Arabidopsis thaliana: one gene and its partner. The protein of the gene in region 1 interacts with the protein of each later gene in a pairwise test. Each region holds a gene or a part of one and is shown on either strand. Other genes may lie near its edges.

Region 1 (3,861 bases):
CCATTTATATTATGCAGTATTTTATATTATTAGTTGAATTTTATTAAATCAAATATAAAATAAAGGTTTTAAAAATAAAAAAAAGTTCTTTTTTAATTAAAACATCTTATATTTTGAAATATAGTGAATAATTTTTCTTTTTTTCTATTTTTTCATTCATTACTAGTTAGTTTTGACTTTTAAATAGAGGTTTCAAAATTATTTAATGGTTTTGTAATCCGATTGATTTCATAAACTGTTCTCGTGTTCTAACAATATTTTCAAAACAATTAAACTATTTTCGTTCTCGTCTTAAATAGACTTGTAAGAATCTCACATAAAATCTGTTTAACTAGGATAAATATAAAGCAAGAGTCAATATATTCATGTCAATAATTTTTGAATTAGAAACTTGTAAACTCTAAAACCTTTGTTGACCAGTTTTTTTTTTTTTTTAGTAAACTTAAGATGATCAATATTATTGTTAATTAGTATTACGTATATGATCAATATAAAATGCATATACGTATTGCTGAAACGAGAGGCGAAAATACAAACAATTCTCTTCATTGCAAGTACTTAGACATTGCTATTACTTGTGAAAAATCCAAAATGATTATTAAGAGACATTATTTTTTCGTCATTAAGAGACATTTTTTTGGCATGATTATTAAAAGACTTTAGTGTATGTGTATATTTGACAGACACTCGTCCTTCCTTATAGGTACGCAAATACGACCCCATGATTGAACAAGTTATTGTCCCTTAAAATTTCTTGAAGTTTCCTCTACAAACTTCTTTTCTTTATTTGCAATATTGTACCTCTAATTTTGGGGGCTTTTTTTTTTAGTTTGGAAGCAACTTTAACCTAATTAATATCAATTGGCTGGTAGATTTCTTTCTTTTATGGGTCTTACGCCCATATATTTTCTAAGACCAGGACAGAGGTATTAATTATCAATTTACTTACGGTTAAACCCCCTTTAGTACACCTTTTCAAGTCTAAGTATAAAATATCCTCTCAAATGAAATCAGTACAAATTGTGCAATTAATCACACACCATTTGGTGTCTCGAAAAAAAACACTCAGTTACAAATTTCTCCAAAATTTAAAATTTAGCCTCGAAGCATATGGTTTATTGGTTAAGACAAGTTCCTTTAATTAGCCCTCGATATATATAACTAAAGTAAACATATGATACTTACTAAAAAAATTTCCTGAATAAATCTTCAAAAACTGTTGACATTCATATAATATGTTTATAGAAAATCAAAATTTGAAAGACAATAACTCTATATCCGTGTAAATAATATGTATATTAATTCTGATCAAAACTAAATTGCAATTATGGCATATCATATATGTGGATACATATTGCCTTCACATGATGAGCATATATATATACCAATATGTAAATAGGAATGTATGATCCAATGAGTCGAAGATCAAGGTAAAGGATAATTAAACAGTAAAACTGAGGTGAAAATTATCTTACCACACAAAACAAAAAAGGCTTGTCTCATCATGTTCATCTCGGAGACAACTTTCATATAATTTACGTACCCGGCCGAGACAAAATCTCTTTTCAACACTGCCCTTCTAAATATGGTCGTCTCATAATCTTTTAATATACTGAAAAGTATTTTGTTTTCCTAATTTAGTTGCATAATGAGATTTTAAGAACCGGGAAAAATATTAAAGCAAACAGTGACCCCAAGTGTGTCGTTTTATACTAATAACAATATATTCACAATATAGAAATAGAGTGGGTCTGTGAGAAAAACAAAAATAAATGGAGCCACTGGGTCCATTTCCTTTATTCAATTAGACTTATTGCATTGTTTTTGGTCCCATTCCCTCTCTTCTAACCCGTACCCAAATATATTAATGCATATATAAATATTTTGAGTGACTGAGAAATGATAGCCAAAATTTTACCAACATTTTTCTCTTCTCATATCAAAGTTTCTCTCTCATTTCTTCATCACACTTCACTGCCCTGTTTTTTTTCCTCATTTTGAATAGTTCTCAAACTTATATATTTTTCCCCCTGAAGCCTAGCTATTTCTTTTTATTTGCATTAATCTCGGGATCCGAATCGAAAAAAGCAATCAGAATAATAGACTTGTACGATACTTGTGCCTAAGCTAACACAATGGCAGAGGAATACTACAGCCTCCGCTCGGAGAGAGTAACTCAGCTTCTTGTCCCTAACTCGGAGTCTGACTCAGTGAGTGACAAAAGCAAAGCTGAGCAAAGCGAGAAGAAGACTAAACGTGGGAGAGACTCCGGTAAACACCCTGTTTATCGCGGAGTAAGGATGAGGAACTGGGGAAAATGGGTGTCGGAGATTCGTGAGCCGAGGAAGAAATCACGTATTTGGCTGGGAACTTTCCCGACGCCGGAGATGGCGGCGCGTGCACACGACGTGGCGGCTCTGAGCATTAAAGGAACGGCCGCTATACTAAACTTCCCTGAACTCGCTGACTCATTCCCTCGACCCGTTTCATTAAGCCCTCGAGACATTCAGACAGCAGCTCTTAAAGCAGCTCACATGGAACCGACGACGTCGTTTTCATCTTCCACGTCTTCGTCGTCGTCTTTGTCTTCTACGTCTTCGCTCGAGTCTCTTGTGTTGGTGATGGACCTCTCGAGGACTGAGTCGGAGGAGCTCGGTGAGATTGTGGAGCTTCCAAGTCTCGGGGCGAGTTACGACGTCGACTCGGCTAACCTTGGGAACGAGTTTGTCTTCTATGACTCAGTTGACTACTGTTTATATCCGCCGCCGTGGGGACAGTCGTCCGAAGATAACTATGGTCACGGAATTAGCCCTAATTTTGGCCATGGCTTGTCATGGGATCTCTAACAGTTTATTTTGTATCATTACCATAATGTTTTGTTTAAAACAGTTTATTTTGTATCATTGCCATAATGTTTTGTTTAATCACGTTTTTAAAACCCTTTGCTGTTTTTGTTTTTTTTTTGAGTTTTTTGGTGTTAGCTAAGAAAGGTTTTTTTTTTTTTTTTTTTTGGAGCGGGTGTGAGCTCCATAATGATACGTGTACAAAACTCTATTTGTGTTTTTTTTTTGTAATATATAAATATCGGGTTTTTTTGTCGGAAAAGAAGGGAAAATAAAGTGATTTTTTTGTAAGTATCATCAAATGAATAAGCGATAAATAAAAGTCCACTAACTTTATGATATTGTAATAATGCAAATCATCAAAATTTAAAAAACTGTTCAATGTTTTTGTTTTTGTTTTCTTTGACAAAAAAAGTTTTTTTTTTAAAATTATAGGAAATATCTTTAACCATTAATTGTAAATTAGAGTCTCACTATCCCATTCATTTTTGTTTTGTCGACATAAATGGAACGGAGAATGTGAGTTAGGGTAAAAAATGAGGGAAAACACAAAGCAAGAGCAACTTGTCCAAGCTGACGCAAACAATACACAGCCACATATGTACATCCATGCAATACTTTATTATCATCTATTAGTATGTTAATGACCATAATTTCCCACTTTAAAAAATTTGTTAGACAATATAGGCCACACAAATATCATACAACTCGTTCTATTTTAGAATTAAAAAGAGAAAGGCTTATGATAAATTCAGATCTGATTAGCCAGCTCCACAGATGACTTTTTTTTGTTTGTGTTCTTATTCTACGATATGTTAAGATTAAAGACTAATTTATCAAAATTTCATAATGATCATCAAATAAAAAAGAATGTATATATCAAGAAATAGATTAATATTAAAATGAATGAGCATCTATTTAATTTCCACATATAACTTGGATCCCTAAAGGGAGTTCCTCCTCTCTTCATTTTATGTCTCCACATCCAATTTTCTTTATAGCCGAACTTTTGTCGTAC
Region 2 (4,201 bases), on another chromosome or scaffold:
TAATAATAGTTAGATCCCAATTATATAATATATACTTATTTGTAGTTTGCACTTTAAGAATATCGAACACTTGAGCATATATACCAAAAACGGATAGTGGGAATGTAAGGATGATAAAGAAATGGATTAATGAGGAAATTAAAATGAATTATCCGATGAATCTTTTGTTAATTAGACACCAAGATAACTAATCATTGCAAAATATATTATTAGAATAATTAATATATAAAACAAAACCTGTCTCTTTTCTCAAAGAATAAAGAGAGATTTATGAAAAGGACACCTAGATCTTAGTTTGATCGCATATTAAATTAAGCGACAAAGTACTCTTCAAGATAAGAAACCATCAAATAATATTAAATAATTAACTAAATTGCAATAGTTTATTTATGTTTGGGACTCACATTTTAGGGTTCGTTTGATTACCTAAATTGACCTATAGTGTTGTGACTAATTCGGGTGATTAGTTCATATAATCTTTCCATTAGTGGAAAAGTATTATGAAACCTTTGGGAACGTTACAATTTAAAAAGACAAAATGCTTTTAAGATAAGAAGCCAAAAAACATATTATTAAAAAAAACATTAAAGTTATAAAATTTTCCTCATTAGGGTTCATTAAATTAACCAAAATTGACTTATTATAACATAATCCAATTTGTTGATATAAACTTACTTTAAATGGAAAAATAAGACAACGTCGTGGTAATGAAATTATAATAAAATTGGAAAATTAAAAAAGAGCTAAAAGAGTTTAATTAATATTAATAAAACGTATTAACGATAATAATACCAGTGCTTACTCTCTATGATCTAAAGCTAAAAACAAAGCTTAAGCTTCCATTATTATAACTCTTTCCCTGCAAAACGACATGATGTTTTCTTCTTCACGACGAAGACGACGAGGCGTTTACGTTTCCGCCACCATCAGCTCCTCCACTATCACTCTCAAATCTCCCACCACCACCGTCACCGTCGTTAGCTAAACCGCGAACTCCATCATCGTTACTGTTCTCGCCGCCGATACCGTTATCGTTTCTCTGCACGGTGGTTGCTCCTCCGCCGGAGAATTTGAAGGAGTTTTTGTTATTATGCATCCAAACTTTGAGAACACCTTTATCAACTCCGATCTCACGGCAAAAATCACGAACTTCGTCTTCGTCACGTTTCTGAATCTTCCAACCGATTCGATCGGCGAATTCATGCATCTTCTCTTTCTGATTTGAGCTAAACTTCGTCCTGAATCGCTTCCTCGAGCCAGGCGTGGCGGAGAGATGGTTAGCCGCGGCGGCGAAGTTTAGATCTGAGAACGGTGCGGTTTTATTATTACCGGAGAGAGCTAAAAGCATGTAGGAGGAAGAGATAGGCGGCGGAGAAGATGAATTAGGACTACGTGGTAACGGAGGAGCTAGCGGAGGAGGAGGATGATGACGGTGATGAGGCTGATACTCAATTGCGGCGGTTGTTGTTGAAGATGGAAGAAGAGACGGTGGTGGAACGGCGGAGGAATCGTCAGTTTCACGGCGGTGGAAGTTACGGTGACAACCACAAGCTGCACACTTGAGAGAAGTTGGATCGGAAGGTGTTGACGAAGGAGACGGCATAAATTCGCCGCAACCGTCAAGCGCGTGACCACCAATCGCCGCCGCGTGGTTCTTGAGACATTCTTTGTAAGTGACTTTGTTGTTGTTGTGGTGGTGGTGGTGGTGGCGTTTGATGATTCCGTTACTGAAAGAGATTGGTTTAGCTGGTTGGATCCGGGTCGGAGTTTCGGATTCGGGTTCTGGTGATTTTGGAGTCATATCCATTGATCTAACTTCAAGCATCTTTATGTTTTTATTTTCTTGAAAAAAATCAAGAAAATATTAGGGTTTATGTTAAGCTTACAAAAAAAGAAAAGTTTGATATTGAGAAATGAAGAAGAAGATGGATAAAAAGAGATTAAATCAACTTTTGAAGATCATGTTTTTTGTAATAAGTTTAAGAAAATAAACTTTAGAGGAAGAAGATGTGTTATAAGATGATGATAGTGAATCTGCTCTGGTTGATGAATGTTGCTAAGAGAGAATAAAATAATTTAATAGGGAGAGATATAAAAATGTTAATAAATGTGAATAATAAATATATTTAAAATAAAAGGACAGAGCTTGAAGATGTTTAACAGAGAAAGGTAGGGTTTGATGATTTAACTATGGTTAAATGTATGGTTAAAAGTGGGACCTGTAATAGGGAGTGGGGAAATATATATAGAGTAATAAATGTCTTAAACCTAAAGACAGTCCAATTATAATTAATATTCTCATGCATTGTGACACTTCTTGTTTTTTTTTGAAGTTGGCTTCTTTTTACTTTATTCTAATATTTGTTCCTTCTGTTAAAATATGTTTAGCATTTTGTATATTTGACTATTACAATGTAATTACCGAACAACTTTGTAAAAGTTTACTTATACTATTAGGTATTATTGTAAACTAAATAGTTGTTTTTCACAAAATAATATTAAAAAAAATACTTATTCTGTTTTGTTGTTTAAAGATTTTTTCCAAAATAAGTATTGTTCTAAATTTTCAATGTAAAATCTATAAAGTATGAATCAGTTTGGTTTTTAAAATATAATATATATTAATAATTTATATAAAAATATTTAAAACGATATTATTATGAATGGAGGAAATATATGTTACCAGCAGGTAACTATATTGAAAAATGAATAATCTCAAATAAATTCAGTGGTTATCATTTGAAGTCATTCAGCCACCTTTAAAATAAATTCAGCCATCATCAGTTAAGGGGTTGATTGGTTCTCCTTCTACTACATGCAAACGCATCATTTACATGTGGTAACAATTGTTAGTGATTGACAATAATCATATAAATCGCGGGATACTGCTCGGATCGCTCGATATCAATACATTTCAAAAACTCCTTCCCGCAAACGTTTGTAGTTGTGGATGGTAGCGGTTGAATTAAAATATTAAAATAATAATAAATAATCAACATATTTGTAATTAAGATAAATATATATAATTCTGTATATATCTTTTCATATTTGTATCTAATCCTATATATTATATTTATTTTGGATCTTTTTTATTTATTTAATTATTATTGCATCTAGTCATAAGATTTCTGCAAATGCATCTATTTTGAAACGTTAAATTAGTCGTTTAAAACGCTTGAAACCACAATATCTCGCTTCCGCAAATTTCCGCAACCGCAAGCGAAACCACAGCCCCGTCCGCTGCAATTAAACCAGTCATGTCTTTAGTCATATGCAGTTAAATTCTTCGGTTACCATAAATAGATCCTATATCAAATTCGGTCTTTTGGGTTTAAAACTAAGACCTAATGTCTAAAAACTACCGTCATTCAAGGTCATAGACTAAAATCTAAATTAGTATCGGAACTTACTAAATATATGTAATTTATATTTATTATTTAAAATATTCAAATTTTGATGATTCTCTGTCATGTGCGGTGGTGTGTACAAACAATCAAGCAAACGCCATGGGCCAAGGCCAATGTGTTCGTACCAAGCGACCATCGCCGAGAAAAACGAAGTCGGTGGCCAAAGTTTCTTCTGGGCGATCACATCAAGAGCATCACAACTTGCTCCTTCTTTCGAACAAGCAAAATACGGCTAAAACCAAAAAAAATAAAGAAAAACATTTCAGAACAAAGCCAATGATGACTAAACCATAGTGATGAGAATAATCACTATACAAATGAATTGGCAAATAAGAAGGTCGTATTGTACGCATGTTTTTGGATTCTGAAATCACAAATTATTTTCCAACGAATGATTGCATCATTGGACCGAGAAATTCAACCTATCGATCGGTAACCAAACACGAAAAATATGATCCTTCGATTTTTTTTTTTAATTATCTCTCAATCGGTTCGTACACCACCATCAAACATCAGTTAAGTGGTACGTGAAATATTAAACCACATATTACGTCCGATATAACAATCTTTGCCTTCTTCGTTTTTTGTCACAAATAAATTATGTGCATCTATGTGTATTTTGAATTTCGTACTACAAATATTTCTGTACATGGATTAGATATACAGATTCGGTGCATAAAAATTATGGTTAATGATGTCTATTATGAGAATAAGATGTATATTATGTTGGGGACTAAGTTTTCTTTATTGTTTTTTTTGTTTGATGATAAAGAATTATTCTATTTTCTTGGTCG

The links.
Region 2: the proteins of TINY2 (region 1) and HB34 interact in a two-hybrid assay, tested with the Arabidopsis thaliana proteins (one large-scale study listed by BioGRID).

What each region holds. Positions count from the first base shown.
Region 1 is NC_003076.8:3,726,774-3,730,634, reverse strand, and holds TINY2 (Integrase-type DNA-binding superfamily protein), read left to right. Parts: upstream 1-1,908; 5' UTR 1,909-2,135; coding exon 2,136-2,846; 3' UTR 2,847-3,182; downstream 3,183-3,861.
Region 2 is NC_003074.8:10,939,712-10,943,912, forward strand, and holds HB34 (homeobox protein 34), read right to left. Parts: upstream 2,123-4,201; 5' UTR 1,826-2,122; coding exon 887-1,825; 3' UTR 594-886; downstream 1-593. UniProt on the Arabidopsis thaliana protein: Putative transcription factor.